3 linked regions of the Canis lupus familiaris genome follow. The protein of the gene in region 2 purifies or fractionates together with the protein of the main gene of each other region. This does not show direct contact. Links are inferred from orthologs where the notes say so. Each region holds a gene or a part of one and is shown on either strand. Other genes may lie near its edges.

Region 1 (3,653 bases), on a different chromosome or scaffold from region 2:
TGTCTCTCTGTCTCTCATGAATAAATAAATAAAATCTTCTTTAAAAAGAAAACGATTTTATTTTTAAGTAATCTTTATACCTCACGTGAGGTTTGAATAACTATGAGATTGAGAGTCACATGCTCCACCAGCTGAGCCAACCAGGTTGCCCGTGTGTGTGTGTGTGTGTGTGTGTGTGTAGGGGGTTGGTTTTGGTTTTTGTTTTTTAGCATGTAGAAGGAAGATAATGTCTAACCTGGAGACAGCTTTTCTCTGCTTTTTTTAAAATCAAGAGCAGGGGAGATTCAGCATTTTTTAAATTTATTTATTTATTTATTTATTTATTTATTTATTTATAAAAATTTTTAAAAAAGATTTAGATAGAGATGTGTATTCTGTTTACTCTGGCTCTCTTCCTCAAAACCAGTGGGCAAATATGTCGTAATTCATGTTACAATTAAGTAAACAAACAATTTTTTACTTTTTTTTTCAGGTTGAGACTGAGCTAAAGTTAATCTGTTGTGACATTCTGGATGTACTGGACAAACACCTCATTCCAGCAGCTAACACTGGCGAGTCCAAGGTTTTCTATTATAAAATGTAGGTTCTATACTAGAAGGGAAAATGTCAGATTAAATGTTAGCCCCCTTAGAATTATCACTTTTTTTTTGAATTATCACTTTTTTGTGTAGGTGTTCAACTTTTATTTAAGAATAATTGTTTAATGTTTAAAGGATAGTTATATGGGAGGAATGATTTTCAAAACTTAGAGTGCTCATTTGCATATTCACTGCTAATGAACAGTTATTGTTGCATTTAAGATGCTCAGACTATTTACTATAAGAGTACTAGGTTTTACCTCTTTTCATTTGTTTTTGTGTGGAGTTAACCCATCAACTGTTGCAATACATTACATAGTTCAGTTTTAATGTTTTATGTAGAAGTTTTATTTCACAATTAACTGTCATGCCATTTTTTGGAACCACTTTTTTATGTTTAATTCTAGTTGGCAATAAATTTATTGATTTTTTTTTTTTAGAGGCTTTTCAATTAATTTCTCTAAGATTTTGCTTATATTTAGTATTCTGAACTCTGAGAAGGAAAACTGAATAGTCTTTCCTGATAGAGTGAAGTTATTGAAGTATACATGCTGATTATTAAAATAATTTTTGTTACATTTCATTTTATAGATTATAGAAAAATTTTAACAGTTTACTTTCATTTAAAAAGCATTCTTCCTAATTCTATTTGTTTTATTTTGTTTTGTTTTAGGAAAGGGGACTACCACAGGTATCTGGCTGAATTTGCCACAGGAAATGACAGGAAGGAGGCTGCAGAGAACAGCCTAGTGGCTTATAAAGCTGCTAGTGATATTGCAATGACAGAACTTCCACCAACGCATCCAATTCGCTTAGGTCTTGCTCTCAACTTTTCTGTATTCTACTATGAAATTCTTAATTCCCCCGACCGTGCCTGCAGGTAAGTCATGGAAGAGAAACAAAAGTTCTCACTGGGAAAGTGAAAAACATTACAAGAGAGAATTATTTGTCTTATTTCCTGGGATTGCCTTTGTGGCCTTGGACATGTAAGAATTCTTTTGGCTTTTAATGAAACTTCTTTGGATTATTTTAAGACCGACTCTATCTCTGTTCACTAGGATAGCAGTTTTAGATTATGTTGATGGGGACAATTTTGGTTGGTAGGTTGAAATTTTAACTTGTTAGTGGGAGGGTGGAATTATTATTATTATTTTTTTTTTTAAGATTTTATTTGTTAATGAGAGACACAGGCAGAGAGAGAAGCAGGCTCCATGCAGGGAGCTTGAGGTGGGACTCCATCCCAGGACCCCAGGATCACACCCTGGACCGAAGGCAGGCATTCAACCGCTGAGCCACCTAGGTGTCCCAGAGGGTGGATTTAGAATAGAATTATTCTTTTTTTTTTAATTTTATTTATTTATGATAGTCACACAGAGAGAGAGAGAGAGGCAGAGACACAGGCAGAGGGAGAAGCAGGCTCCATGCACCGGGAGCCTGACGTGGGATTCAATCCCGGATCTCCAGGATCGCGCCCTGGGCCAAAGGCAGGCGCTAAACCACTGCGCCACCCAGGGATCCCTATTTTCTTTTTTTTATATATGAGCTTTTAGTCATTTGTAGGTATGTTAACATAGTTAGGCTCTTAGTGTACATATTTTGTATTTTCTATTCTAATATGAATAGTTTTCCATCTTTCTATGTTAATAATTCCCTCATATGTATTTTAGATTGTTGCCAATATTTGATACAGATAGAAATTTAAGGGCTACCTCTATGTACATGGCTTTTTCTTGTAAAAGTTATTGCAAAATATAACAGTTTATCACTCTAACCATTTTTTAAAGATTTATTATTATTATTATTTTAATTTTAAGGATTTTATTTATTTGAGAGGGAGGGAGAGCATGAGCAGAGAGAGGGAGGGAGACTCCCTGCAGGGCTCGATCCCAGGACCCTAAAATCATGACCTCAGCCAACAGCAGATGGTCAATGGACTGAGCCACCCAGCCACCCAAAAGATTTATTTATTTTAGAGATAATGAGTGAGTGGGGGTGGGGTGCAAAGAGAATCTCCAGCAGACTCCCTGCTGGGCTCAGAGCTGATGCAGAACTTGGTCCTATGACACTGAGATCATAACCTGAGTTGAAATCAAGAATCAGATTCTTCATGACTGAGCCACTCAGGCGCCCCTCATTCTTCTAACCATTTTTAAGTTGTATAATTGAATGGCATTAAATACACCTGCAATATTGTGTAACTGTCACCACTAAGTTATTTCCAAAACTTTTTAATCACCTGAAACAAACACTAACTGGTACCGGGTCATTGTCCAGATTCGCCCACCCTTGACCCCAGTTATTTCTACCTTTTCTCTTTGTGAATTTGCCTATTTTAGGTACTTCATATAATTGGTATAATGTATTTGTTGTTTATAGTTTACAGTCTTCAGTATGTAGGGATCAGATACTCGATGAAAGGGAGAGATTGTCCTTTTGTGAGGTGGATTCATTTGAATGCAGACCATTATTTATTCATCTAAAAACATTCTAAGGGCACCTGGGTGGCTCAGTGGTTGAGCGTCTGCCTTTGGCTCAGGTTGTGATCCCAGGGTCCTGGGGTGGAGTCCCACATTCGGCTCCCATGGGAAGCCTGCTTCTCCCTCTGCCTGTGTCTCTGCCTCTCTCTGTCTCTCATGAATTAATAAAATCTTTAAAAATAAATACTTAAAAATAAAAACATTCTAAATGCCTCGTCGAGTTTAAACAGGTACAGGTCTCAGCTGAAGAAGTTATAGCTATCTCTGTTCAGCTAATAGTATTGGTTGGGTCTTTCATTGTCATTCTCCAGTCTGCTTGTCCCACATATCACTTGGAGTTAAGTCTTCTCCATGCCTTTATTTTTATGCATTTGCTTTAATCTTAAGTGTGCATTCATTCTTTTCCCTACCCTTTAAGATGAGTTTATATTTGATTTTTCCTTTTTCTTGTCCTCTAGGGTTTCTGAAGTACTTTCTCCAGAGAAGCACTTCATACTTGTTTTATAATGGTTTTATATGTCAGTCCTCTATTTTCTAGATATTCACTGTGGACTGAGATTGTTTTTTCCCTCTCTTCTGTTTCTCCACCAGTGTTCCA
Region 2 (3,653 bases):
CTGCCAGCACAAGGGACACACCCCTTCGGTCACACTGCCCAGGGGCGGCGTTGGGGGCACCACCACAGGCACAACCAGGGGGCCGAACCATGGTGCCACCTAGCGGGCACTTGCCTCCTCGGCTGTCACCCGGAGGCCAACAGGCCGCCTCCCGCAAGCCGCGGGGGGCGAGCGCCACGACACGTGAACGGGAGCCTCCAGCAAATGAACCGGGCACAAGGACAAAAGCCCGGCGGTGCGCTCAGCCACTCAGGAAGTCACCCCACTACACACGGCCACAGCCCCACAGGACGGCGAGGGGACGTCACAACGCCCTCTGATTACAGCCCAAAGTGGTGCCGCGGCCCCAGACAGACCCCTGTGTATGTCCTGGGACACACGGCGGGCGCGACACAACCCCACCGGGCCCCCGTCCCCCCGCGATGGCGCCACCTCCACAGGCAGGCCACCGCGGCCCCTGGACGGTCCACCGTGCACTGCAGCGGCGGGGGGCACTGCCCGGCGGCTCCACCAACACCCCTGGAAGAGAGAACGCGGCGTTCCGTGGCATTTACCTGTGTCCAGGCGCTTTCCCGGGGACCCCTCCTCCACCTCAGAGTCGCCGCAGGTGCTCCGCGACCTTTTTCTTGGCTGCAGAAGAGTCTCCAACCTCGGAAGGACTACAGACAAAAAGGTTTTGGTCCCTAGCTGAGGAGAAGTTGGCTGGGTTTCAGTGTTCTTGGCAGACTTTGGGGGGCTTACACTTTTCGATTTGCAGAAGAGAACAGAAGTGCGTCTGTTTACATCGCTTGCTGGCTCCGCCACCGCGGAGGCCGCCGCCGCCGGCGCATCGCCACTACTGGCGAGGGTGGGCTCTGGAGGGTGTCCGATTACCAGTGCGCTCTGAGTGCAAGTGCTATGTGATTCATTATCAAATGTGACTCTTTTGAATAGTTTACTCTGCTCTGGGTTGAGTTCTACTGGTTTGAGGGTTGGTGGTTCTGAATTAGTCTCCGAGTTTGAAGGAAGAGGTAATGCATCTGATGGTTCAAGTTTAGGGGGAGATTTATCTCCTGAAAAAATTATAAATAAAGTGATTTTTGAAAACTGATAATTATAAAATCTATTATAAAACTTACTATAAATGTGAAGTCCACCAAAACACTAATTCAATTAAGGAAACAAAGCATCACACATACTGTCTGCAAGCAGTGAGAGGCCGCAGCGGGCCGTCAGGCTACACTGTGTGCGCTGCCCTAACACCGAAGACGGGGTGGCCTGGTGCCCGGGCTCCAGGTGTGCACGTGTATCACGTTACCCTGCCAACGGCTGTTGAGGATTCCCTCCACATACGCCAAAACTAGCACATCATTCGACTTTAGGAGCATCTCTACAGTCGACACTTCACTTACCTTGAGTAAGAGACACGTCTCACATAACCAGGAGGTTAACGGGCACCCCACGCGCTCCTGACCTGGGCCACGTGGTCAGCAAGCAGGGGACACGAGCACGTAAATCACTCCTCTGACCAGGCTGTGCCCGCCTGAGGCGCGACCCTCACGGGACCAGGAAAACCTCCCTTCCAGGCCCCAGACCGGCTACCCTCCACGCCACGCTCTGAACGCCCATAAAGTACGTTCTTTTTCCTAAATCTGACTTTAAAAATAAAAACAGTCTTTGGAAAACTACCTTTGCCTCGTAATTTAAAAAGCTTCTTAAAACCATTCATATCAAAACAAGAAGTCTGAAGAGCCACGAGCAGGGCTTTACCCCAGGGCCGGGGAGGAGGCCGGCCCCCAGGCACCAAGCGGGCAGCGGCGCAGCCCCCGGACAGGCCTCTGCTTGGGCTGCGACACGCGGGAGATCAAGCCAGGACGAGCGGTTTACGTGATCCGAGAGGGTACCCGTCCTCTCTACGCACACTTCTCATTAAAGCTGCAAATTGCCCCAAAAGCAGGCAGTACCGTAACTCCGGTTGTTCTGAAAGCGGAAAGCTACAGCTGCTGTGCCCCCTCCCGTCTCAGAACCACGTCCTGAGGAACCTGCCCGAGGGGCCCTGCTCGGACTCAGCAGGTCACAGCAGGACCCGAGCCCCTCTGTGCACCCCCCCAGCGGGTCCCCGGGCATCCGAGCTGCGGACACAGTGGCCAACGCCAGGCAGGGCTCTGCATGCTCGGGCCCCGTGTCCTCCCAGGCAGCACCTGCGGCCAGCACGGAGGAATCACCGCGGGCCCTCCCCCAGCGAGCGCCCCGGCTCACCTCTGGCCTCTCTCCTGGGCCTCACGCCAGGCTCCCACCCTGACCCCGCACCAGCGGTCCTGCCCCCACCTCTGCCCTGGCCAGGTGGGCGTCACCAACACGGGGGTGGCCACGAGGGCCAGCAGGGCGCAAGGGAGCCCTCCGTCCCCACGCACCCGCCTGCGCCTCACCAGACACAAAGGCAAAGATGTGCCTGCAGGGGCCTCCTCTCCCTGCGCCTACCCTGCACCTCTGCGTTCGGCCCAGACAGCTCACGGGAGTACTGGGGAGGTGCGCGGGGCACGAAGCACCGCCGCCAGCCGGGCACCACGTGGGCTGCCAACCCTGGGCCTGGCGAGCCCCACGGCTGCACCTCTGCGCCCGGCCGCACCCTGGGCCGACCCCACACCACAAGCTAACGCACAAACACAAACACTCGCTGCCACTAACAATGACGGCATCGAGCCGCACGCGAGCCATGCTCGACTCCCTTCTGGAATAAGCCCTGTTCACGTAAATACCAACGTCCCAAATTCCACTTCTTCCTTCATAAGAGCAAAGCAGTTCCCACCAGGAGCCTGTTTCACACTAGCTGCTCTGGAAATTCTAAAGATGCACTTGTGGCTGCAGAGAGGCCGCTCGCCAGCTATCCGACGAGACCCATACACCCCAGAGCGCGGGAGCTCGGAGGCTCCGGCGTGGGGCCCTGGCCTCCCGTGACCCTGACCACAGGCTGTCTCACCACCACCCGGCCTCAGGCTTCCTCACCTCATCCTCAAGAGAGAGAGCGACAGACGCACGTGCTCCCCAAGAGCCCTCTTATAAACATGACCGGTCCTCGCACGCTCCCACGTGCCATGCGGGGGAAGCAGGACCCCGCAAGCCGCAAACCCGCTCCTGTGCGGACTCGGATACAAATCACAATAGGCCTGAGGGAGCCTGAGAGAGCCTGAGGGAGCCTTCGGGAAGAGAAAGGCACAATCTTGAAACACGAGGACAGGGCCCAAAGCACAGCTGGAGTCCCAGAGAGGACATGAAAGCCCTGGGCTCGCAGTCCTCCCAAAGCCACCTGTCTTCGCTACCCTGCGCCCATCAGGCACCCGGGACCACGCTCTGGGAAGAGGCGGAGACCGAAGCGCCCGCGCTAGAACACCTGCAGCGCTGACACAGAGCTGAGGAGGAGCGCAGGACCCCCCAGAGGAGGGCACCTCAGCAGGCCCAACCCCATCAGAACCCCCAAGGTGACAACGCAGACGGGTGCCCAGGTGACAGGATCACCTCGCAGCCCCACGCCCTCATCTTTCAGAGTACTCTCAGTGCTCGTCCCGTGACCAGGATCATGAGATCCCCTTTCTACGCCAGCTCCCAGAGCGTCTGCTCCTGGCTGTCCCCTCCAGCCTTGCAGGAGAACACCCCACCCCACGTGGAGGTCCCGC
Region 3 (2,675 bases), on a different chromosome or scaffold from region 2:
TTATCCACCTAGGGGCAAAGGAAGGAAAAGAAAGAGGTACACAGCTGGTTCCAGAAAAAGAAAATAAGGCTAAGGCATACTCTGTGTCTCTCCCAGACCCAGAACAGATCCCAACACAGCTGAAGGAGGGTTCTAGGACCCCGAGGATTAGACAGGAGGTAGGTGGGGAGCCATGAACAGGGCCATACCATCTCATAGGTCTGCATGGCAAGCTGCACCTTGTCGTCACCAAATTCCTTGCATTTGCCATAGGCTTCCTGGATCTGTTTGAGAAGAGCCAATTTTTCCTCGGAGCTCAGGCTGCGGGCGCTACTCATATACTCAGTGGCCAACTTGTCAATTTCAGCCTTCAGGTCTACAACAGAGACAGAGGCCTGGTCACAAAGGCCCCGGAGTGGCTAGGTGAAACACACTTCTTCCTCTTGTTTCTTGGACCTTTGCCATTGACCATCATCATAACCTTCGAACCAAAACGCCCCGAGAGTTCACAGGTACTGTGCCACTTACTCAAGAAACGCAACACATTGACAGTATTTGTTTTAGAGGTGCCTCCAGGTGCTGAAAACATTGCTATCAGAGTTGGAACTAAAATTCCTGAAAACCACGGAGGGGGTCTCTGCCCGTTGCACTAATCCGAAGGCTATTTTTGTTATGTCTGAGGATGCTTCTTCGCAGGGCTTGCTGCTTCTTGAACCATGAGTCTTGTCTAACAGGCTTCCTGATTTCTTGTCTCAAAAACATTCTGTGGCAGCTCTGAGTGCGGCAAAGCTGGCTGGGTCATCTGTTGCTGCTGCTGCCTTCCAGGTCTGTACATCTGTGACTCATCGTTTAAAACTAGGCCCTAGTTCATTTATGTAACAGTTCTTCTACCCTATTTTGCTCATCGTCTGCAACCTGCTTGTATTTCCCATCACTTTCTTTTCCTGTTTGTTCATCTTAGATGTTGCTCCAAACATTTTAATAGCGGAAGGCTGGCGACGTCCCCAGACACTGAGGCTGTAGATGTCTACTGCCTCCTATTTGGTAGGACTCATAAAAAATGTTGATGAAAAGAGGCCAAAGAAGGACTATAACAAGGTGCCATGACAGACAACCAGAAGGCTCTGTGTACACACTATATTTGTGTCCCGTTTCATGTGATGCCTTGGGAGGAAGCTGAAAATGCATGTAGTTCAATAATCTCCCAACCGGTCTTCCTATGCATGAACTCAAGAGTAGGGACTGTGTTATACAAAGGAAGCAAGCTGGTTCTCAGCATTCAGCAGGCAGTTCTCGGGGGTCTAGACCCAGGATTTTCCATGATGTTCACCTTTTCATGAGTAAACTTACCCAGAGTAGCTGAAATCACAGCTTTAGGTATTATAACACCAGCCTGTCATATCCTTAAGCATGGCTACATAAGGACGGAAGATAAGACATAGGTCTTATATATAGATATCCTTTAGCAGGTATGGGGGACGGCTCCAAAAGATGATATCTTTGCCCCTGAAGAGACCAATCTGACCACTGTAGTGTAGTCTTAGGCTCTAAGTGAATGCCTCAACGCAGCCAGATTTGCTCAACATCCAAGGAAGGCCACAGATGGTATCTAGTGCTTCTATAAGGTTGAAGAATACAGTGTAGAGATCCTGTTGTTAATTGCTACTTTTTCTTCGTTTTTTCTTTCTCTCTTTCTTTCTTTCTTTTTTTTTTTTTTTTTTCTCTCTTTCTTTCTTAAGAGCTTCTCTACCAACATGACTTGTGGTCTACAGCCACACTGAATTTTTTTTTTTCCACACTGAATTTTTTTTATAGTAACATTAACAATCCAGTGGGGTAGAAACATCCCAGTCTTCCTATAGATATATTGAATATAGAGAATAGAAATGATTCTAGAGTTGACTTCTTTTTTAATTCCTCTCGCAGATACAAAGAACATAGCATCCTTGAATTCTTGAGGCATCATCACAATACTCTACTTATTATGGAAAAGCTGATCTAGAAGTGCAAATCTTCACCGTTCTCCTTTTAAGAATATAAGAGAGTAAAAAAAGAGGAGCCACAGTTCCCCAGTTCAGACCAGATGATACAGTAACATCAAAGAGAAAAAGAAGTGATCGTACAATCTCATTATACACTCAAAATCCCTACTCTATACATACCCTCTGTTCTTTGGTCCAGGTCCCTCATGAGCTGAAAGTTTCTCTGCAGTTCGAAGGGAAGGTTTTCGATACCTAGGGAGAAGAAAAACTGAGAATCATGGCACTTCATAGGCCTGATAGCTGATTTTATTTTATTTTTCTTTTTTTTTTTTTAAACATATTTTTTTTAATTTTTATTTATTTATGATAGTCACAGAGAGAGAGAGAGAGAGAGAGAGAGAGAGGCAGAGACACAGGCAGAGGGAGAAGCAGCCTCCATGCACCGGGAGCCCGACGCGGGATTCGATCCCGGGTCTCCAGGATCGCGCCCTGGACCAAAGGCAGGCGCCAAACCGCTGCGCCACCCAGGGATCCCCTATTTTTAAAAGATTTTATTTATTTATTCATGAGAGACACACAGAGAGAGAGGCAGAGACACAGGCAGAGGGAGAAGCAGGCTCCATGCAGGGAGCCTGACGTGGGGCTTGATCTGGGGACTCCAAGATCACACCCTGGGCCGAAGGCAGGCGCCAAACTGCTGAGCCACCCAGGGAT

Evidence for each region.
Region 1: the proteins of BRD1 (region 2) and YWHAE purify together in Homo sapiens (affinity purification with mass spectrometry; 3 studies listed by BioGRID and IntAct, with this or other methods). This does not show direct contact. The link is inferred for Canis lupus familiaris from reciprocal best matches to the Homo sapiens genes BRD1 and YWHAE.
Region 3: the proteins of BRD1 (region 2) and ING4 purify together in Homo sapiens (affinity purification with mass spectrometry; 5 studies listed by BioGRID and IntAct, with this or other methods). This does not show direct contact. The link is inferred for Canis lupus familiaris from reciprocal best matches to the Homo sapiens genes BRD1 and ING4.

The regions. Positions count from the first base shown.
Region 1 is NC_049230.1:45,482,812-45,486,464, reverse strand, and holds part of YWHAE (14-3-3 protein epsilon), read left to right. Parts: intron 1-472; coding exon 473-579; intron 580-1,251; coding exon 1,252-1,458; intron 1,459-3,653. UniProt on the Homo sapiens protein: Adapter protein implicated in the regulation of a large spectrum of both general and specialized signaling pathways. Binds to a large number of partners, usually by recognition of a phosphoserine or phosphothreonine motif.
Region 2 is NC_049231.1:18,292,343-18,295,995, reverse strand, and holds part of BRD1 (bromodomain-containing protein 1), read right to left. Parts: intron 1,053-3,653; coding exon 555-1,052; intron 1-554. UniProt on the Homo sapiens protein: Scaffold subunit of various histone acetyltransferase (HAT) complexes, such as the MOZ/MORF and HBO1 complexes, that acts as a regulator of hematopoiesis.
Region 3 is NC_049248.1:7,717,988-7,720,662, forward strand, and holds part of ING4 (inhibitor of growth protein 4), read right to left. Parts: intron 2,214-2,675; coding exon 2,142-2,213; intron 492-2,141; exon of another isoform or gene 356-491; coding exon 189-355; intron 9-188; coding exon 1-8.